Diceros bicornis minor: one gene and its partners. The protein of the gene in region 1 purifies or fractionates together with the protein of each later gene. This does not show direct contact. Links are inferred from orthologs where the notes say so. Each region holds a gene or a part of one and is shown in the gene's direction. Other genes may lie near its edges.

Region 1 (7,430 bases):
CATCCCGCTTCATCTCTCTGGGTCTCAGTTATTTCAACTTTACTATAAAGTATTATAAAGTTCTAAAAATACCATTTCGCTCCACTGTAGGTGTGGAGATTCATGAAATAACGAGAGTGAACATTTTAAAAAAACATCCAAGATGCTTTGGGAATGCTTTGATCACATTGACTGCCATAGGGAGGCTGCCCCTTTGATGTTAAAACAGTTCCTGAAACCCAACACTCTAAAGCGGAACTCTTTTGTCCCCCGCTTCCTGAATCAGCCTTCTAATTCTGCCTTCTTCCCAGACTACACACTCTAGTAGCATCCAGTCTGTCACCTCTTCCAGTTGTTCCTTTCCTTCAGATGTTTCTCAGACACATCCATCCTCCTCTGGACCCTCATCACTTCCTGCATCAGCGAAGGGTCTCTGTTCCAGAACAGGCTCTGGTAGCATTCTGAGCCTCACTTTCCAGTCTTTCTAACAGTTGCAACTTTACATTTGCTTGTGAGATTTGTGATTTGTAGAACTACCAATCTCAAATCACAGACTTCCCTGTGCAAGAAACATAATTTTCTTTTTTTCCTATAAGGAGTTCATTTCTGTTCAACTCTGTTTTCCATCTAAGTGTTGTAGAAACAATCTCAGATAGTTCAGGGTTCTTCCTCAGATAGTTCAGGGTTCTTCCTACCCTTGATTTTCAGCTTGTACACACTTTTTGGAAAATTAATTAGGGCCAAGGTTGTGGGGGTGGGAATTCATTGAATCCTCAGTGTCAGTTGTTTGAGCTATATCGTCCTGCCTGATCCTCCGTCACTTGTCCACACAGGTTGCCATTTAATCTTCCTGGGAAACAGAGCTTCTTCTGGGTTATTGGCCAATGTGTCCCCTTGCTTCCCAAGCAGCAGCAGCCTTGGCGGGGGGGAGAAGGGCATAGAGTTCCTTTCTTGGGGACCCACCAACAGCTATCCCCTATGTCTCCTTTCCCAGCCTAGGGAATCTTTATCTCTTCTAGGGGGAGACTGGGAGAAATCTGAGATTGAGGTTTTTTTTTGTGTGTGTGTGAGGAAGATCAGCCCTGAGCTAACATCCATGCTAATCCTCCTCTTTTTGCTGAGGAAGACTGGCTGTGAGCTAACATCTATTGCCAATCCTCCTCCTTTTTTTTTTCCCCAAAGCCCCAGTAGATAGTTGTATGTCATAGTTGCACATCCTTCTAGTTGCTGTATGTGGGACGCGGCCTCAGCATCGGGTGCGTGCCTGGGATCCGAACCCGGTGCCGCCAGTAGCAGAGCGCGCGCACTTAACCACTAAGCCGCGGGGCTGGCCCTGGCTTGAGATTGAGTTCTTACCTGTTTAATATTTACTCCAAAATCAGTCGCCCTGAATCCTTTCTATTCCATGAGGGGCTGGCTTTGAAACTCAGAAGGCTTGAAAGGACTCCCTTTTTCCTCCATTCTTCTGTCACAGCCATAAGCTCCCCAGTATAGGGACTCCTCTGGTTTTGCTCACAGTGGAATCCCCAATGCCTAGTACAGTGCCTTACTGGCACACAATGGGCACTCAATAAATATTTGTCCAATAAATGAACCACTGCATCTCTCTCCTTCCAGTCTGTCCTCCAACCCATCCAGTGAGTGTCTTCCAGAGGAATCTTCTGGATGTGTGGTTATCTCTCCATAGCTCAACTGCTCTTCTGCTGCCAGCCCAATCAAGTCTAACCACCTCTGCTTCAAGGCTCCACGTAAATGGATCCATTTTATTTCCTACCATGTCCAAGTACGGAAGACGCCTGGCCTGTCAGGCAGCCTGTCATCCAACCAACAATAGTTATGAAGTTCCTGCTATGTGTCAGGCACCATGTTAGACTCTCAGAAACAACAGTGGCTAGAACAACTATGGTTCTGCCATCATGGAGTTTACAGTTGAATGGAGAACCCAGACATCGAACAGATACTTGTAAATAATTAAATGATTCTAGTTATCCAGAGTGGCCCAGAGGAGAATTACAGCGTGCTGTGGGGACCAAACTTCAGTCAGGGGTCAAGAAAAACGCGCCAGAGGAAGTGCCATTTAAGGCGAGACTGGTGTTTACATTGGAGGGGATGGGAGGGGAGGAGAAGAAAAGAGGGAGTTGGGGAAAGTGTTCCAGACAAAAATACTGGAACCAGCCAGAGTGGGTAAGTTTGAGGACTTAAAAGGCCAGTATGGCAGGAGAGAAGTTGAGGTGAGACTGTGAGGGTCAGAATGGGCCAGATGGTGCAGGACGTGGGGGTGAGTTTCCTCTGCCAGAACCACTCTCCCTCATTCAGGTCTCAGCAAAAGTGTCACCTCCTCGGAGATGCCCTCCCTGAATATCCTGCCTAAAATAGTCCATCCCTCTGATCCATCCTATCCACCTTACTCTGATTTGTTTTATTCTTAGCACTTACTCTCTGGAATTTTCTTCTTATGTGCTGATTGTCTATGCTGCCCCACCCCCCAAACCCAATGTAAGCACCAAGAGAGCAGAAACCTTGTCTTTCTTGTTCATCATTTGTATCTCCAGTTATCAGAACACGGCCTGGCACCTAGGAGGCACCCAACCAGTATTTGCTGAATGAATGAAAAGCCTGGGGAGTATCGGGAATAGAGTTTTCATTGAAAGTAGATCACTGGCTCTTCTGAGGAAAGTGGATTAGAAGGGGGCCAGGCTGGGATCAAGAAGACCAATTAGGATGCTATTTTATTGGTGCAGGGGAGAGATGATAGTAGTTTGGACAATCTTGCTTGGCTTTAGGGATAATGATAACAAACATGAATATTTATATTGTACTTACTATGTGTCAGGCTTAGTTCAAAGCATTTTTTTAAACATTAACTCCTCACAACAACCCTGTGAGTTAATTCAACCCTTGTTATCACTCCCTCCATTTTACAGATGAGGAAATTAAGGCAGAGAAGTTCACACAGCTTACTAGCTGAGTGGAGCTGGGGTTAGAACACAATCCGACTTTAGAGTCCACGCCTTTGGCCACTATGCTGTCTGCCTTTCATACCTGCAACTTTTCTTCTTCTCTCCAAGCTTTTGCTTATGCTGTACCTGCTCTTGAGCTGCCCTCTAGTCTCCTTCTCTTCTATCTGAATATTGCCCATCTGTCAAAGTCCAGCTCGTTCACACCTCTCCAGTGAAGAAGACTTCACTGACCACACCTGTCTCTCCTGCTGCTTTGTCTGGATCCCACACCACATGTTCTGTACATGATTCCTGAAAGTATCTTATCTTTGTCGACGTAAATAATCCGTAATCAATCTATAAATCAAAATTGGGGTGGGTTTATTACGAGCCAACTTTTGAGGACCATAGCCTGGGACCTTCCTTCCCCAAGGAAGGAGGGGCACCAGAGAAGTGGGGTGTACAGAGCAGTTATATACTGTCAAAGAGCACATATCACATATGATTGCAATGTCCCTTTTACAATAGCCACAAGATCGCCGTGTCAGATTGCCCTGCCAGAATAGCTATTGATGGACACAGAGCGTGGCAGGTCTGCTGTCTCGATGGGCGTGGCTGGATGCAGGTCTGTTCTCAAGTTGGGTGGTCACAGGATGAGTGCAGCAATCAAATCCTAGCCTAAGGAGAAATGCTTATCCTTAAGGAAATGCCAATGTGGGGGACGTTGCATCCTTATCTTAAGGACATTTACTCTTCTCTTTGGGACATGGTAAAGCAGATACACAATGCATGTTTAATGGTGACAGGCCCTTTTGGGAAAACAAACTCAGGCCTAATTAGTTTTACACCAAATGGCTTCCTCATATGCTCCAATATATCCTATTGCTTGCCATTTATTTATCACTTATAGATATCCACAAAGAATCCCACACGATCTGAGCTGGAAAGGACCTAGAAGCCATGTAGGAAAGGGGCAGAGAAGCTGATGACTTGCCCAAGATCACAGAGCAAATTGGTAGTAAACGCAGGACCAGAACAGTTTCTTGACCCGTGTTAGTTTCTCTACCTGTCTGCATCTGTACTTTCTTCACCGTGTCACCCAGCAGTGTCCCTGGGTAGTCCGAGAAACACCTGTCTCAGAATCACATGGGGCATGCACTGAAAATGCAGACTTTCCAAGGCAGGCCCAGGAATACGCATTTTAACAAGTTCGTTAGTAAATTCTCACGCACACCAAAGACTGCAAGACTCCGTACGATCCCATGGCCCGGCAGAGGGCCAGTCTCAGAAAAGCGTTGCTGCATTGCTTTGGCTTTAAATTCCAACTGCATCATGGGAAATGTAGTTTCGGCTCGCCTCTCCCCTCGCCGCGGGACCGCTTTACGGAAGGAGCCGAGTCAGTCCGGAAATAGACGAGTGCTCCCTGGCGGGCCCTTTCCTGCACGGTTGCATTCTGGGAAAGGGCAGTTTCCGTTAGGTGCTGGAGGCTGAGGCGCGCGACCGGCCGCAGTCCCACGTGAAGCGCGACGCGAGCATCGCTCGGCGGGTCGCTCCCCGCTCGCCGCGGAGCGTTCCGGAAGCCGCCGGGAACCGGAAGTGGCCCGCGGCGGCTCAGAAGCTAATCCCGGAGCTCGGTGCGAGGCGCCTCGGAGCGCGGCGACGGCGCCATGTCCCTGATCTGCTCGAGTGAGTATCGGCGGCGGCCGATCGCGGGTCGCAGGAGGCCGGAGAGCCGAGCGGGAGGATCTGGGGTCGGGGCGGAGGTGAAAGCAGGGCTCCCGGGAGGCCGGGCGGCGGCCTGTCAGCACGGGGGTCCTTCTCCTCCCCCTCAGCTGGGGGTGCGTTTGCGCAGCGCTTCACAGTTTACGTAACGCCTCAAGTTTATGGTCGCAGGCATCCCTGGGGCCAGCCACCTCGTTTACGTAGTGGGGACTGGGGCCTGGACGGGGGGAGCTGGTGCAGGAATCGGGGAACCCGAAGGCTGGTGCAGGAGCCGCCTCAGATTGGCTTTGTGACCTGGCTTAAGCCTCTGGGCCTCAGTTACCCCATTTGCAAAATGAGGGCTTTGCACTGGATGTTGTCTGAGGTCCCGCCCTGGAGTCAGAGCTTCTGCAGATTGCCAAGGTCACGCAGTGAGATGGAGGCAGTGACAGGGCTGGAAGCCAGGTCTCCGGCTCCCAACCTCATCTTGCACGACTAATAAAAACAGCGTGCATTTATGAAGCCTTTATTGGTTTACAACGCACTTCCAAGTCGGTGATCTCATTTTATCCTCCCAAGAATTCTCCAAAGCAGGAATAAAGGTCCCGGCCGGGTTTACAGATGAGGGTGTAAGGCTCCAGGAGAGTGTGGCTTATCTAAAGCTGCACAGCTAGTAATTGGCAGAGCTGGGTGATGGAGCTGGGTTCTCTGACCCTGAATCCGTGCTTTTTTCATGCCTTGTACTGTCTTTCCTTTTGGTATTTTATTGTGGCATAGAGATGTTTTCCGTTATTGTTTCATCCCGTGACTGGTCTCTCATCCTTTTCTCTATTTGCGTCCTAATTGTCAAGCCCTTGACTCTTCTCAGAACCTCTCCATAAATCAAAAAAAAGGGAGGGAATAAGGAAGGAAGGAAAATGATGTCTAGAAAGAGGAACCTTCACATTGAAAAAATTACAGGTTGCACAGTATTGTCCCATTCATTGTTTCTTTTGTATCTTGAAGAACCTCTCTTCTGTGTTCCCCACCACCATCCTTCCTCTCATTCGCTCATGTTAGATGTTAACCCAGTGCCTGCTGGGCATCTGCATTGTCCTGGAAGTCAGAGACCAGCTGTAATCCCTATGCTCAGGGGTGCACAGTCTACTGAGGCAGGCGTGTAAATGATACCTCTGTTGGGGGTTGTGGTGAGGATGAATTAAATCTCTGGAAAGTGTTTCCAATCGTGCTTGGTACCTAGTAAACACCATGTAAATGTTTTTTATTCTTATAGCACTTGTCATATTGCTTTGTAATTTCTTTGTCTAATAATCCATCTAGGCTCTAGACTGAGATTTGAGTGGCTTCATGTGTATCTCCATGTCCTGGAGTATAAGGAGTGACTAAGCATCTTTGTTCAAAAACAAGATGGGCAGGGTTATTGACTGCTCTTTAGGTGTCTCGTACGTAGTTGTTGTGCAATAATTACTTGTTGACTATCTGAGTGTCAGGAGACTGATGGAGAAGCCAGTTATGTAGCTGGAAAGCATTCTGGAGACAGGACAAAACTGGCTTGGTGTCATGTCTTGATTCCTGTGAGTTGAGTGTGGGGATGCATGGTCTTGTGGGGGCCAGTAGTGAGTGAGGCATCTCTTTGGCCCAAGGTCCCTTTCACCACCCCTGCTCACTGCCTGCCTTTTCTCTGCAGTCTCCAATGAAGTGCCAGAGCACCCGTGCGTGTCCCCTGTCTCTCACCATGTCTACGAGCGGCGGCTCATTGAGAAGTATATTGCAGAGAATGGCACAGACCCCATCAACAACCAGCCTCTGTCCGAGGAGCAGCTCATCGACATCAAAGGTGCCCAGTGGCTGGCCTCAGTCCAGGGCCATCTTAGCTCAGAGCCTGAGAGGGTGGGAGGTGGTACCAGTGCACTGGAGGAGGAGATGGTTGTGTGTTAATGCAGGCTAAAGAGAAAAGAGTGGTGGAGAGGAAGAGTCCCCGGGTTATGGATCTTCATACCTGCTTTCCCTCTCTTGGCAGTTGCTCACCCCATCCGGCCCAAACCTCCCTCAGCTACCAGCATCCCAGCCATTCTGAAAGCCTTGCAGGATGAGTGGGTGAGTCCCTGGATGAGAATTGATGTCTTCCCTACTCGAAGAGAATGGATCACTGGACTAGAACTAGGGGGTGGGAGGGATGGAGCATTAGTTTCTTTTTTGAGGGGTAGGATGATAGCAGAGGAGGAGCCCGGTTGTTGAAATCACACAGATCTGGGTTTCACGCATAGCTCCATTGCTCCCTTACCGTGTGACCTTGGTCATGTGCCTCATATCCCAGTCTTGATTTTCCTGACTGTGTGACATGGATTAGTGCCCACCTCTTAGGGTGTTGGGAGAATCAGAATAAGATTAGAGTATAAACTTTGTGACGTCAGGGACTTGTTTTATTCATCAATATGTCCTCAGCACGAGAGCAGCGCCTGGTACATAGTAGGTGCTCTAAAATATGAATAAATGAATGCATACATCTTGAGGGACTGTCTGGGACAGTGCCTGACACAATGAGGACATTCAATAAATAGCAGCAGAGGCATTATTATTCCCTTTTGGTGAGGTGACAGCATGCCATCTGAGGTTTGCTGGTAAATTAAAGACGAGGGGGATGGAAAAGAGTTGGCTCCCACTCCTGTCTGTGTGCCTGGTGTTTGGCGTGAGCTAGGAGCTCGGGAGTGGCTGCCAGCACTGGCATTCAGGGTCACTCAGATGCTGCCTGCATCACTGATACTGGTCTAGGCTGTGGCATAGGAGGCAGTGTCCTCTTATCAAGGGCAG
Region 2 (7,862 bases), on another chromosome or scaffold:
ATCATATTGGGGCCCATGAGGCTGATATGTTTTATCATGAGTGATATTAACTTTGATCACTTGGTGAGGGTAGTGTCTGCTGGGTTTCTCCACTGTAAAGTTTTTATTTTTTCCCTTTGTAATGAAAGAATATTTGGGGGAGCCACCTGTTTTGTTCAGTCAAGTATATGGAGGTTTAATTTACATACAATAAAATTTACCTTTTTTTTTTCTTGTGAGGAAGATCAGCCCTGAGCTAACATCTGCCAATCCTCCTCTCTCTTTTTTTTTTTTGAGGAAGACTGGCCGTGGGCTAACATCCATGCCCACCTTCCTCCACTTTGTATGGGACACCGCCACAGCATGGCTTGACAAGCGGTGCGTCGGTGCGCGCCCAGGATCCGAACCGGCAAACCCCCGGCCGCCGCAGCGGAGCACGCACACTTAACTGCTTATGCCACTGGGCCGGCCCCTAAAATTTACCCTTTATGGCATATGCTTCTATGAATTTTGGCAAATGAATACAGTCATGGAACTGCCACTACAATCAAAACATAGAACAGCTCCCTCACCCCGCAGAGTTCTCACCTTCCCTTTGTAGTCAGCCTCTTCCCCGACTTCCAGGTGGTGGAAAGTACTGCTCTGTTTTCTCTCCCTCCGTCTCTGTGGTTTTGCTTTTCCCAGAATGTCAAATCAATGAAATCGTCCAGTACGTAGCCTTTTGAATCTGGCTTCTTTTGCTTCTTTAGCATAATGCACTGAAGATTCATTCGTGTTGTTGTGCGTATCAGTAGTTCTTTCCTTCTTAACACTCAGCGGTATTCCAAGTCATGACGTAGGCCCTTTGTTTCTATATTCACTGTATGTGAAGGACATTTGAGTTACATTTTGTTTATGGCGATTATGAATAAAGCTGCTATAAAAATCCATATACATGCTTTTGTGTGAACATAAGTTTTCAGGTCTCTTGAATAAGTAGCTAAGAGTGGGCTTTCTGGGTTGTATGATAAATCTATGCTTAACTTTTTTTGGCCATCAGCAGACAATTGTGTCATAAGACTTTCTATCTTAAAAAAAAAAAAAAAAAACTGGGGCCAGCCTGGTGGCGTAGTGGTTAAATTCATGCACTCCACTTCAGTGGCCTGGGGTTCGTAGGTTCAGATCTCGGGCGCGGACCTAACCACCACTCATCAAGCCATGCTGTGGCATGTCCCACATACACAACAGAGGAAGATGGGCACACATGTTAGCTCAGGGCCAATCTTCCTCACCAAAAAAAAAATTCCTTCCTTTACTCCACTTCCTTATCCTGCCGTTAACACCTCTCACTGCTCTACCCACCCCACCCCCGTTTTTTTTTGTGAGAAAGATTAGCCATGAGCTAACATCCGTGCCCATCTTCCTCTACCTTATGGGATGCTGCCACAGCATGGCTTGACAAGCAGCGCATTGGTCTGCGCCTGGGATCCAAACCTGTGAACCCCCTGCCGCTGAAGCAGAGCACTCGAACTTAACCTCTATGCTACTAGGCCAGCCCTCTCTGCTCCCTCTGTAGCAAAACTTCTCTAAAGACTTTTCCTGATCTGAAGTGTCCACTGCCTCTCCCCTTGTCTTGTCAGGTCACCTCTGGTTGCCAGACCTCAGTTCTTACCTTTGTGCATTTCTCAGCAGCATTGCACACATTGAATATGGCCTCTTTGCTGAAGCACTTTCCTTCTTGGCTTCCTGGACACCTGACTCTCCTGGTTTTCCTTTACATTCGCAATTACTCCTACTCAGCGTCCTTTGCTGGCTCTTCCTGTTTTATCTGAACTTTAAATGATGAAGGGCCTTGGGACTCAGTCCTCAGACTTCTTCCCTTCTCCGTCTTCTCTCATCTCCTAGATGAGTTCATTCAGTCGCATGAAGTACCATCTCTACTCCAGTGACTCCCAAATTAGGTTTCCAGCCCCAACTCTTCCGTGATTGGCATATATTCCAACTTTCCACTCCACAGCGCCACTTGAGTGTCAAAAAGACATCTCTGAGATGTCCAAACCCAGAACTCCTCCTTAATAATCCCACTCTTCCCTACGTCCTCATTCCCTAAATCAGTGGCACCATCATTCACCTAGCTGCTCAGTCTACAAATCTAGGAGTGGGGTTTATTATCATTATTATTATTATTAAGGAAAGATTAGCTTCATTTAAAATTTTTTTCTTTAAACATGTTATTTTGAAATAATTTCAGACACAGAAACGTTGCAAAAATACTACAGAGTTCCCATATATCCTTCACCCAGCTTCTGCCAATGTCCACTTCTTATATAACCATAGTACAATTACATGTCAGGAAATTAACACTGGTATAATGCTATTAACCAATAATACTTCAGACCTCATTTGAATTTCACCAGTTTTCCACTAATGTTCTTTTTCTTGTTCAGAATCGAATCTAGGATCCCACCTTGCTTTTAGTTGTCTCCTTCATTTCCGCTAGGAGTTATTTTTAACTTCTCCCTTTCCCATACACTCTAGTTCCACTCCTATAGCAACTGAATAAGTGAGCTCTGCCTTCACGATATATCCTGAATCCCACCACTCCTTTCCATTCCACTGCTACCATCTGGGTGCAGGCCACCATCTCTTCCCTGGAAATTGTAGCCTCCTCACCATCTCCCTGTTTTTTTGTGTGTGTGTGTGTGAGGAAGATTAGCCCTGAGTTAACATCTGTTGCCAATCCTCCTCCTCTTGCTGAGGAAGATTAGCCCTGGGCTAACATCCATGCCCATCTTCCTCTATATTACGTGGGACGCCTGCCACAGCATGGCTTGAGTAAACGCTGCTTAGGTCTGCGCCCAGGATTCGAACCTGCGAACCCCCGGGCCACAGAAGCAGAGCGCATGAACTTAACCACTATGCCACTGGGTGGCCCCTCACCATCTCCCTGTTTCCCCTTCAATCCCTTCCCTGAACTTTTTCTGTCCACAGCCATTGAAGGGACCTTTTAAAAATGTAAATCAGGTTATGTCCGTCTCCTGATCAAAACCCTTTAGTTACTTCCTATTTCATTTCAAATAACACCTGCCCTCTCCACGTAATACTTGATTCAGGCAAGGATCAGCAATGGCTGCTACAATCATGAGGTGAGAGATGGTTGGGGAACAGAATATTTGCATGGTGGCAAAGTCTAACTGCTCAGATTACCAAGGGGAACATGTACCTTTACAAAAAGAGATCTGGCAGTTAGCTCCTTGACCAGGCGACCAAACTCGGCATCATAATGGTGGGACCATCTGACATTACGCACCTCCAGATGTAATGCAATACGATGTCTGCAGTATTACCAGGGAAATGTTCTTGCCAAAAATGCTTAACTTCAGTGGATTCAAACCTTCAGACTCAACTTCCATTTTACAGGGAAAACAAGGGTAGTGCAACAAAGTAACCACCAGGAGGAAACCATCAGACAAACTCAGAATGTGGGACATTCTACTGGAAACGGGGTTGAACTCTGGGAAAAATCAACAACACAACGGGAAAAAAAAAGTGTGTGGGTGTGTGCATATGTGTGTCTACTCTATATTAAAAGAGACTAAAGAGACATGACAAGTAACGGCAATGGGTGAAATTTGATTGGCTCCTGGTTCAGATTAAAACAAAATATTCTTGGTCAGTTGGGAAAACCTGAATAGAGGCTAAACTTTCTTAGAGATGAAAATAATTTTGTGGTTATGTAGCAGAATGTCCTTATTCTTAGGAGATACATGCTGAAGCATTTAGAGGTGAAATGCTGCAATTTACTTTCCAATGGTAGACCAAAAAAAAACACATTACGAAGGCAGGTTTAGTTTTGTTTATTTTCTTTAAATTTTTTATTTTGAAATAAATTTAGAATTACAAAAAACCTCCAAAAATGGAGCAGAGAGTTCCCACATGCATACACAAATAAAGCAAATGTCAAAATATTTTTGAAAATGTCCTTTTATATGTTTCTTGAAACACGAAATTAGTCATTTACATTTTGTAATAATTTCTGTAATTATTATTAAACAGGCAATTGAACCTATCCAAAAAACTTAAAATACAATACTTAACTCCTGATGGGTCTACAGGGCCCTAAATAGCATGGCTGCTGACTCTAATCTCAGGGCAAATGACATGAGGTTCCTGCCATCCGTCCTAAACCAGGCCCTTTACACTTGCTGTTAACCCTGCCCAGATCTCCCTTCCATCTGGCCTTTGTGCAAATGTCACCTCTTCAGAAGTACCTTCCATCTTCGCCCTTTTTAAATTACCCCGCTCTCACTGCCCACCCTCTTACTCCGCCCTATTTTTCTTTATTGCGCAGACCACTATCCGAAATTATATTTATCTTTTTAAATGACTTTATTGTCTCCCTCAGTACAATGCAAGCTCCAAGAAGAAAAAGACTTTGCTTTAGTCACGTGCTATGTCCCCAGAGACCAAACAGCGCGCTTGCTTAATAGTTGTCGATTTAATAGGTTAGACATCAACTCGGCCACACTATTCACGTAGGGACTCTTTGCCAGGTGGCGGAAGGGTCTATTACGGTATAGACGAAACACGCATGCGCGCAAGATCCGGGAAGTGTGTTAAGGGGAGGGGCGGAGCATCGAGAAGAGTCTCGCGGACACCGGCGGTTGGAGCCGCGAGCGCGAGGTCGAAGGGGAAGGCTTGGTGAGAAGCGCGCGTGCGCACTGCGGCCTCCAGCCTGCCGCGGCAAAGGAGTTTAAGGTGCACGAAGGCGGGGTGGTGACCTCGCGCGTGCGCAGTGCCCGCGGCGGCGCCAGGTCCGTGTGTGTGGGCTGGTCTCGACTCGCGCGGCGCGTGCGCAGTGCGGCCGGCGGAGGGATTTGAGACCGGTTCCACCCCTTGCCCCTGTCGCGAGCCGAGGCCGCGCGGGCTCGTGAGCAGCGGCCTGGTTCGCGCGCTCAGTGGGTGACGGAGGCGGAGGGACGTGGACCCCGCCGGAGTAGAAGACAGAGTAGGAGTTCGTGCTGCTGAGGGGCCGCCGCAGCCGCTGCGAGCCCCCGGACCGTCGCCAGGCCGAGGAGGGCGCCGCGCGGCGGGTGAGTGTGACTGGCCTTACCGGGTGCGGGGCCACTACCCACAAGCCCCTGCGGTGGGCCCCAGTCCCTTCCCCGCGGCCGGGTCCCCGTCCCGCGCCACCGCCAGAGCACCTTTCTGCATCCCTTACCCACAGTCCCCTGGGCACTCAGGCCCTCTTGCCATGGCTCCCCCGCGGTCCCTTACCCACAGGCCCTTGCGGTGTGTTGCCTTTTTTTTCCTTCTCTTTCGCGGCATCCTGGACCCTTACCCATAATTCCTTTCGTCTCTGGGGTCCTAGATGTATTAGCCACAAGCCGTTACTTGAGAGGTTTGCTGCTTAGGACCCTGTCTTTTTGATTGGAGGCTTCCTGTGCCCCCTGCCTCATAACCTGTTCTCCAAGGTATGGGACCCCCAGCCGCCACTGCTGTGGATCTCCCTCGTCAGGATCCTTGATTCCCCCACAAACCCCCAGGGAACCTCTCGGCCTCACAGTTCCTTGCTTGGGACTCAGACTTTGCTCAGAAACCCTTTTTCCGTCCTTGTTTGCCTTACCGGCCTTGCCCTGCCCTCACGCAGCCTTCCCGAAGAACTTGCTTTCTCCTTCGGGTTTACTCCTTGGCCCTGTGACATAGGGTCACTCTGAGCCCTGGCTGAGATCCTGCCCCATTTCCCTCTTTTTCGGGGAGTCAAGGGATTGTAGGGGCTGCCTCTCCACCCGCCCACCCCCACACAAGGCTGTCTTGCTTTGGCCCTCAGACTTGGCAAGATGACCCAGTTCCTGCCGCCCAACCTCCTGGCCCTCTTTGCCCCCCGTGACCCCATCCCGTACCTGCCGCCGCTGGAGAAACTGCCACATGAAAAACACCACAATCAACCTTACTGTGGCATCGCGCCTTACATCCGGGAGTTTGAGGTGAGTTTGCTGAGCAGACTTGGGGTGGTTTGGGTTTTAGGGGCCAGGGGCCTGGATTTGGAGTCCAGTCTCTGGCTGTGTTCCAGCTGTGTGGTTTAGGCAGGTGACTTGCTCTTCGTGATCTTCAGTTTTCCTCTCTTAAATGGGGTTGATAGTACATCCCTTGTAGGGTTTTTGTGAAAATTCAGTGACTAGCAGTGGGGGATTCGGGCTCTGAAGGCAGGTAGTCTTTGGCACACGCCATTTATCAGCTGTGTGACCTTGGGCAAGTGGTGTATACTCTTGTGCATCAATTTCTTCATCTTGGGCCGGCCCCGTGGCTTAGCGGTTAAGTGCGCGCGCTCCGCTACTTGCGGCCCGGGTTCGGAACCCCGGGCGCTCACCGAGGCACCGCTTCTCCGGCCATGCTGAGGCCGCTTCCCACATACAGCAACCAGAAGGACGTGCAACTATGACGTACAACTATCTACTGGGGCTTTGGCGGGGGGCGGGGGAGGACTGGCAATAGATGTTAGCTCAGAGCTGGTCTTTCTCAGCAAAAAGAGGAGGATTAGCACAGATGTTAGCTCAGGGCTGATCTTCCTCACAAAAAAAAAAATTTCTTCATCTTTAGTGAGGGGATAATAGAATTTTCTTCATAACATTGATGGGGAATTAACTGCAAAATTTATGTTATGGGGCCTGGCACCAAACAGTCAGCAAATGTCAACGTGTGTTAGTGTATTTATCATCTTTGTGGCGTTCGTAAAGGGTTAGCACGGTGCGATGGGGTGCTTAAGACCATGGGCTTGAGAACTTGAGCTCTGCACCTGCAGGGTAAACACGAACACATGACTTAGGTTCCTGGGCCTCAGTTTTCTCATTAGTAAAATTGGGATAACAACATCCGTCTCTTAAGGTGCATCAGAGCGCACCTGAGAAATGCTGGCATGCAGCCAGCAGAGGAAAGTTCTGGCATCGAGTGGGAAAGGGCGGCTGGAGGCGGAGGAAGTGGCAGAGCAGAAGTTAGTAGCAAGATAACAGAAGGTTGGCTCTTTAGTGGGATTTGCCGCCCTCAGTGAGCTGGTACTGGGGAAATGTCACTAGCCAGTTAAACTAATTTAGTGGCTGCAGGTCAGTGGCACTCTTTGATGACCCAGGTCATGTGCCATTTACTCCTTAATGAGTGGTTGGTGAGACCCTCAGGAAATCCCCGGGGCCGGCCCGGTGCCTTAGTGGTTGAGTGCGCGCGCTCCGCTACTGGCGGCCTGAGTTCGGATCCCGGGCGCGCACCGACGCACCGCTTCTCCGGCCATGCTGAGGCCACGTCCCACATACAGCAACTAGAAGGATCTGCAGCTATGACATACAACTATCTACTGGGGCTTTGGGGGGAAAAAAAAAAGGAGGAGGATTGGCAATAGATGTTAGCTCAGGGCTGATCTTCCTGACAAAAATTAAAAAAAAAAAGAAGTGTCCGCCCCTCAGAGAGCGTTCAGTTGTTTGCTTCTGGGCACCGCACCGTCAGCTCCTTTTGCTTCAGGCCTGGTCCCGATTCCTCTCTGTGATAAAGAGAGATCCATTGCAGATTGTGCTTTCGATAAACACAAAAGAATTATTTTCTTTTTTCTAGTGTTTTTAAAGAAAGATTGTAAAATAAAAGATTGAGTTTTTATTATTAAATTCAGTGGGCATAAAGCTACCCCGTCAGATTGTTGTAGAAGTTTCTGAATACTTACGATTTCTTTACTTTTCGTGTCACGGACCGTTACCAGTTTGCAGATGGCATTGGTGCAAGGACCGCACTTTGATCTGCACCACTCCCCTGCCTCCACTGGCCTGGGAGCTGTCCCTGTTTGTTTACTTGTGTGTAGGGGGGGTGTGTGTGTGGCTGAATTGCTTATTACTTCCCAGATGGGTGTCCCTGGCCGTTTCCCG
Region 3 (7,657 bases), on another chromosome or scaffold:
AGATCCCTACTGTGAAATGCATAGTCAGACAGGCTTGGATTGGAGTATTGCCAGTTACTAATTCTAGGACTGTGGGCAAGTAACCAAACTCTCTACATTTCAGTTTTCACAATTATATAAAAATATTAGATTAGAGAGGATCCAAGGACCTGAATTTTGGGAATGAGAGGCAGAGGGAGCAGGGAGGGACTCCTCCTGAACCCCGGGCGCATTCTTCTTCTCAGAAAAACATATCTCTCTTTCCACTGCCCACTCTGTAACTCTTCAGTGCCTAAATGGAGGAGTCAGGAGTTCTTCGGTGCTGTCATATGTTTCTAATCAGCCCACGATTGCAGTGTAGGAGCTCAATATTGGTGATAAATATACTTTATGAGTGTTTTTTTGAGGATATATTCTTAAAGGCTGTTCCAATAAATAATTTACTGGGGCAATGAAAGATGCAGGAAGTGACTCTGATTACATCTTGGAGCACCTAAAGCTTGAAGTTTAAGGAAGCTAGGCAGCCCACAGCTATTTAAAAATTTCCTGGAAGGGATAATTCTTCCACATTACATTCTTTACAAAGGTTACAGCCCAGCAGCTGATCTCTTGGGTGGTGCCCTTCTCCCATCTCCCTTGTGGATGCCACTCTGAAATCATCGTTGTCGCAGGTTTTTGGACTGCTTGGTGCATTGCACAAGCTCTTCTGAGCTTCCATTTCCTCATCTTTAAAATTGGAATAGCATATTGTCAGGATTTGTGGTAGGGCTTTGAAGATATTTGATAGTATTATGGCCAGGAGTGAATGAATCAATCAGTAGATTGATTGGCTCATTTATTAAATCACCAACTATTCGGTTAGTGCCAATTAAGGTCTAGGCACTGTGTTAGGTTCTGAGGTTATTGTGATGAACAATACAGCAATCTCTGGCCTTCTGGAGCTTAGAATACAAAGGGAAAACAGACTCCAAAAGAGTAAAAAGCAAATCAATATAGAAACACAAATCACATGTGTTCTGAAGATAATAGTCAGGAACACTGGTAGAGAATCTTGAGCAGAGGGGAGGGACTGTCTTAGATCTCACAGTCAGGGAAGGCTCCTCTGATGTGGTGACATTAAGCTGAGACCTGAAGGGTGAGTGCTCCAAGACTTCTCTCTAGGGAGGTTCCCAAGGAATTATTAATGGGCCCTCTCAACAAGATAAAGTTGAAATATCTTAATATGATATTCAAGATCCTCTATGATCAGGATTGCCAGATAAAATACAGGATGCCTAGTTAAATTTGAATTTCAGATAAACAACACAAAGTTTTTAATATGTTACTAAATATTGCATGGAGCAGATAGTAAAAAAAATTTGAAGTTTATCTGAAATTCAGATTTAACTGGGTATCTTGTATTTTTATTTGCTAAATCTGGCAACCCTATCCATGATGTTCCCTGGCCCCCCTCTCCTGCCCTACTTCCCACCATTCCCTGCACACACCTTATGCCCTGTCTATAAGAGATAGTCCAACTTCCATGTCTTTGGGCGTGTTGTTCCCTCTGCCTGGGTCACCAGACTCCCACCATGTCTTCTTGGGAAACTCTTCTCATCCCTTAAACCCTAGTCCAAATGGCACCTCCAGCACGTTATCCCCATTCCAGGGTGTCACCAAACCTGGTTCGCATAGGGTTTTGCCTTATGATTCTATGTTTTAAGGTCTGGTCTCTAAAAATACACAGAGAAGATTGAATGCCTTCAATACTCTTGAAAGGAAGGGGTATAAGGAATGACCTTGTCCCTCCTGCCTCCCCCACCCCATCATCCTCACACAACTCCTCATAGTATTAACATCAAATATTGATGGAGCACTTTTCTGTGCTGGGTACCCTGCTAAGGGCTTTGTATACAGCATCTCACGTAAACTTCCCAAAGTCTTATAAGGTAAATTCCATTGAATCTCCACTTTGCAGGCAAGGCAATCAGGCACACAGAGGTGATGTCGCTTGCCTCAGTTTCCACATCTGTAAAATGAGGATCATAACAATGTCTCCCTCATGAGGGTTTCTCTCCAACTAGAGTGTAGGTTCCAAGAGGGCAGGAACTTTCTTTTTAAATAAACCTCTGTATCCTCAGAGCCCAGGGTTGTGTCTGGCATTGAGTAGGCACTCAATAAATACTGTTGAATGCATGAATGAACCACCTTACAGATAAGGAAACTGCAGCTTAGAAAGAGAAAGTAACTTGCTCACAGGTAGATGTGGTGAGACTTTGACTAGAACCAGAATCAATGGTGTACTGGTAAACGTTTACCAACCCCGATTTGTAGCACTTGTTGATTTCCATAATGTAAATACTTCCACCATGGCCAACTTCAAGCAACCAACCTGATGTCAATCTGCTTGCAAATTTCCTGAAAATTTAACCATAGGCACTTGCAAGCTCCAGCATACCCCTTACTAGAACAAAGTTCTAAAGGGTACATGGTTCCAAAGGGTACACTCTCACCATTACTCTGTTCAGCCTCCCTGAACAGGGCACAGTCTACACTCACAGCTAAGTAGGAAGAGAAAAGACACCTGAAAAACTCAGTTCAAAGCAGATTGTGTAGGTGATCCTTAAAAAACATAAATCCAATCACTAAACGCCCCTGCTTAAAACCTTTCAATATCTTCCTGATGCTCCTACCATGAAATTTAGTCTCCTTATCATGACCCACAAGGCCCATTGTGAAACCTCCCCCTGTGCCAGGCACTGTACAAGGCTTTTGTACTGGGATATAATGATGAACGTGACCTCCACAATCCCTCCTCTCATGGAGCCTGCCTGCAGTAAATGAGGCTGTCAATAAACAAGTAATTAACCATTAAGAACAAAATGACAGATGGAGATATATGTGCAGTAAAGGAAGTGCTAGGAAAGAGAATAATGAGAAGGGGCTGCTTACCTGAACTGAGGGATAGTTGAGGAAGGCTACTCTAAGAAAGTGACATTTGAAACCCGAAGGATGAGAAAGAGTTGGATGAGGTGTGGGGCTAGTGGCCAGGCAGAAGAAGAGAGGATTTGGCACTTTGAGGAACAAAAATAATTTCTGTATATTTGGAGACTGTGGAGATGGAGAAGGTGATTATAAATACTGCTATGGTCTGAATGTTTGTGTCCCCCCAAATTCATGTGTTTAAATGAAGTGGAGCTTTTGAGAGATGATTGGGTTATAAGGGCAGAGCCCTTATGAATGGGATTAGTGCCTTTTTTTTTTTTTTTGCTGGGAAAGATTGCCCTGAGCTAACATCTGTTGTCAATCTTTCTCTTTTTTTTTTTTTTCTTTTCTTTCCTCCCCAAGGCCTCAGCACATAGTTGTATATTCTAGTTGTAAGTCCTTCTAGATCTTCCATGTGAGCTGCCACAGCATGGCCACTGACAGACGAGTGGTGAGATTCAGTGCTTGGGAACCGAACCCGGGCCACAGAAGCAGGGCGCAACAACTCTAAATGCTAGGCCATCAGGGCTGGTTGGATTAGCATCTTTTTAAAAGAGGCAGGAGAGCTCCCTCACCCCGGACACCACATGAGGACACAGTGAGAAGGTACCATCTATGAACCACAGACCAGACCCTCACCAGACAACAAATCTGCCAGCGCCTTGATTTTGGACTTCCCAGCTTCCAGAACTGTGAGAAATAAATTTCTGTTGTTTATAAGCCACCCAGTGTATGGTATTTTTGCCATAGGAGCCTGAATGGACTAAGACAAATATTATGAACGTGAAGGGCAGGAGGCTAAAGGCTCAGGCGACTAAGGAAGAGGCTTAACACCCTTTTAAGATGGAGTCTTATTTAAATCCCAGGAGTTCAGATGCACTCTGAATGATTCTCTTCCAGTGATGGGCAACTCTCTCCTACAGAAAACTTTTTTATATCACTTGGGTAGAAACAAGATCATCCAGTTCCCACCCCGCCTTGCATACATGAATAAACAGAAGCCAGAGAGGGAAATGTGATCACCAACAGTTTCTCAGACAGTAACAGTTGCACGGACTTGGACAATACACTTTCTGAGCCAGACCTGTCCAATAGAAATTTAACAGGAGCCGTGAAGACAGCCACATATGTAATTTACATTTTCTACTAACCACATTTAAGAAGTAAAAAGAAACGGGTGAAATTAATTTTATATATTTTTTGACCCAATATATCCAAAATATCATTTCAACATGTAATCATTAGAAGTTTTAGAAACCGGGTGTGTATTTTAGTTACACTTATGGCACGTTTCAAACATGACCTAGCCATCTTTCAGACCCTCAGTAGCCACATGGGTATAGCGGCTATAGTACTGGACAGTGCAGTTCTATGCCTCAGTTTCCTTATCTGTGAAACGAGGATAAAGTTGCCTAGGTCACTGGAAGGACTGTGAGGGCACACGTGAAACACCCAGCACTCCACCCCGCGCTCGCGCCAATAAAGCTTGGGTCCTTTGGGTCTTTTCTTTCACCGCACCGCCCTCCTTCAAGTCTCCGCCCCTTTCCCCGCCCCCTTCAGGCTCAGGGCGGAAGCGGTACTGTCGCAAATGCGGCGCGCTTTACGGTGGCGCTGCCTTTTACCGCAGTGTGGCCGACTCGCGCGTCGCGCGCACTTTTACCTCATTGGCTCTGCGGCTCGGCTCACGGCGCTTTACGGCAGTGTGGCTGGAGCCGCTGGTGAGGGGTCCCCTGTTTGGGCGTGAGTAGAGGGAAGCGGAGTAGCAGGTGTTGGCTAGGCCGGGAACCATGGACGTGGGTGAACTTCTGAGCTACCAGGTATGAGGGACGAGGAGGGCCAGAGGACCGTCCGCTCACCCGGGCATCTCACCTCCTCTCCCCTCCGTCCCGGGCCCTCTCTTTTCTCGTGGCACCGGGGTCCGAGCCTCTCATTTCACTTCCCTCCCTTGAGACTCGCTTGGGTCCTTTCAGTTCGTTCCTTCTCAAGGTGCGAGCCCCTTCTTTTCAGCTGCAGTGTGGGCCCCTTCTCACCCCACCCTGGGGCCTGGTTCCCTTCAGCTTTCTGAAGGCCCCAGACTATCTTCGCAACCATCCCTCTTTAGCCCTCTTACCCCTAGTCGTTGAGTTTGTGGTGGTGGTGGGAGAGCCCTGGACCCCCAGCTTCTCCCCTGACTGGCCATGTGGCTTTGGGACAAGTCATTTCACCCTCTTTGAGCCTGAGTTTCTTTATATATAAAACGGAGGCAGTAATAACTACCTAGTGGAGTTGTTTGAGGACTATATCAACTAATGGATGTGATAGCCGATTTTAAAGTGTAGAAAGCTGTACCCCTGTTAACTGCAGTTGTTGGGAGATGTTTGGAATTCTAACATGGGATAGGTCTCTAGGAATCTTTGTCCCTCTTGCTCAGGATACTTGTAGGGAAACAGTAGCCCACAGGGCAGAAAGGACTTGTCCAAAGTTACTCAACAAGTAAGAGCTGAGATTAGAGCTGAGGTCTCCTGGCTTCCAGCTCAAAGTTCCCCCACTCTTTTGACTTCCTAAGGAGGCTCCTTGTGAGAGGCAGTAGAGCTGTGTTGTCCAATATGGTACCCAGTAGCCATATATGGCTATTCAACACTTGAAATGGGACTAGTCTGAATTGAGAAGTACTCTAAATGTAGAATCACACTGGATTTTGAAGACTCAGTGTGAAAAAAGTAAAACTTTCTTGTTGGTTACATGATCATATTGATCATATCAGGTACCATGATTATTGATCATATTGATTAGATAATCTTAGTATGGGTAATGGGTTAAGTAAAATACATTTAAAATAAATTTTACCTGTTTCTGTGACTTTTTAAGCTAGCCTTTTGCTGTGGCTACTGCTGGCCTTATATTTCTGTTGGACAGCTCTGCAGTAGAGAGTAGGTAATGAAGAGCCATGAGTCTGGAGCCCCATGTTGCTCAGAATCTCTATTTTGCTGCTGACTGGCTTCTGTGACCTTGAACAAAACACTTAACCTCTCTGTGCCTTGGTTTCCTCATCTGTAAATGTGGGCAATGATGGTACCTACCACATAAGTCTGTTGTTAACAGCTGTCGTGAACTGTAAAGTGCTTAGGCCGATGCTTGTCAAAGAGTAAACGTTCAATAAATGTTGCCAGTTATATTCATGCCACTTCCTCAGCCAATATACAAAGAACTGACCTTAGAAACTCTAGACATCATGGGAATGAACTTGTAAGCAATGGGAGATATATAGCCAAGAGATGTCTCTTTTTAAGACAATAATTGAAGGTGAAAGAAGAAAATAGGGGGTTGTTGAATGAGTGGTTGTATACCTGTTTGGGAGTTGTAGAATGACTAGCACGTTGACTCGTAGAATATTAAAGCTAGAAGAGGTTCATTCATTTGCTCAACAAATATTTATTGAACACCTACTGTGCAAGGCACTGTATCTACTGAATATACAACATTGAGCAAAACAGACAGAGTTCTTGCTTTTGTGGAGCTTATAGTCTGGTGGGGAAGTTACAAGATAATAAGTCAGTAAACAAACCAGAAATTCAGATTGTGATAAGCACTTTGAAGGGTATGCAGAATATACTATGCTGTGCTGTTTGGTGTGGTAGCCACTGGGCACAGGTGACTATTGAACACCTGAAATGTGGCTAGTTCAAATTGATATCTGCTGTATGTGCAAAATACCTGCTATATGTGCAAAATACACACTGGATTTCCAAGATTTAGTATGAAAAAAATGAATGTAAAAAATATTAATAATTTTTATATTGATTCCATGCCGAAATGATAATACTAGGATATATTGGCTTAAAGTAAATAGATTATTAAAGTTAATGTCACTTTCTTAAAAACTTTTTTAATGTGGCTACTAGAAAATTTAAAGTTACATATGTGGCTCATTTGTGGCTTTCCATGTATTTTCATTGGACAGCACTGCTAAAGAAAATAACCCCTGGGAATGCGAGGCAGGACCTATTACTTTAACTAGTATGGTCTGGGAAGGACTCTGAGGAATGGACATTAAAGGATTGAAGGTTGAAAGGAGCCAGTCATGTGAAAAGGGCAGAATGATCTGGGCAGACAGAATAGCAAATACATAGGCTGTGAGGTAGAGGCTGGGGCAGCCTGTTAGAGGATCAGAAGGAGGACTGATGTAGCTGGAACATGGTGAGTGGGTGGGGGAGTGGTAGGTGATGAAGTTGGAGATGTAGGCAGATGACAGGCTATGTAGGCCTTCCTGTGGGCCATGATAAGGAGTTTGAATTTTATTTTGAGAGATGTTATAGATAAGCTCGTTTACAGATGAAAAGTGAACTCCATTCTGGGAGAGGGACTTCCCTGAGGTTGTGGGCCAAGGGAGTGGCAGAGTTGAAACCAGAATCCTGATCTTCTTATTTCTGCCCTGTTCATTTCCCACATGCACTGTTCATGCAGTTTCCTTTCTGTAAGATCCATGTCCACTCTTCCTGTTCCTAAAAGATGGTACAGTCTGGAATCTAGTCCATAATCAGTCAACTGCACCCATCCTCCTGTGGAAAGTTATGAGGATCATCTGAGTTAATGGATGCAAAAGCTCTTTGAAAACAGTAACATTTTATAGATGTGAAAGATGCATTACCTACCTGCATCATCTCTCTAAATCCTTATAACAACCCTATGAGGAAAGGTACTGTTTTTAATCTCAATTATAAACATGAGGGAACTG

The links.
Region 2: the proteins of PRPF19 (region 1) and SNRNP70 fractionate together in Homo sapiens (co-fractionation; 3 studies listed by BioGRID, with this or other methods). This does not show direct contact. The link is inferred for Diceros bicornis minor from reciprocal best matches to the Homo sapiens genes PRPF19 and SNRNP70.
Region 3: the proteins of PRPF19 (region 1) and CTNNBL1 purify together in Homo sapiens (affinity purification with mass spectrometry; 4 studies listed by BioGRID and IntAct, counting the BioPlex papers as one, with this or other methods). This does not show direct contact. The link is inferred for Diceros bicornis minor from reciprocal best matches to the Homo sapiens genes PRPF19 and CTNNBL1.

What each region holds. Positions count from the first base shown.
Region 1 is NC_080770.1:12,513,877-12,521,306, forward strand, and holds the start of PRPF19 (pre-mRNA-processing factor 19), read left to right. Parts: upstream 1-4,412; 5' UTR 4,413-4,585; coding exon 4,586-4,604; intron 4,605-6,306; coding exon 6,307-6,456; intron 6,457-6,639; coding exon 6,640-6,716; intron 6,717-7,430. UniProt on the Homo sapiens protein: Ubiquitin-protein ligase which is a core component of several complexes mainly involved pre-mRNA splicing and DNA repair. Required for pre-mRNA splicing as component of the spliceosome.
Region 2 is NC_080773.1:24,584,527-24,592,388, forward strand, and holds the start of SNRNP70 (U1 small nuclear ribonucleoprotein 70 kDa), read left to right. Parts: upstream 1-4,853; 5' UTR 4,854-5,051; intron 5,052-5,788; 5' UTR 5,789-5,798; coding exon 5,799-5,945; intron 5,946-7,862. UniProt on the Homo sapiens protein: Component of the spliceosomal U1 snRNP, which is essential for recognition of the pre-mRNA 5' splice-site and the subsequent assembly of the spliceosome. SNRNP70 binds to the loop I region of U1-snRNA.
Region 3 is NC_080758.1:22,437,103-22,444,759, reverse strand, and holds the start of CTNNBL1 (beta-catenin-like protein 1), read left to right. Parts: upstream 1-4,648; 5' UTR 4,649-4,730; coding exon 4,731-4,760; intron 4,761-7,657. UniProt on the Homo sapiens protein: Component of the PRP19-CDC5L complex that forms an integral part of the spliceosome and is required for activating pre-mRNA splicing.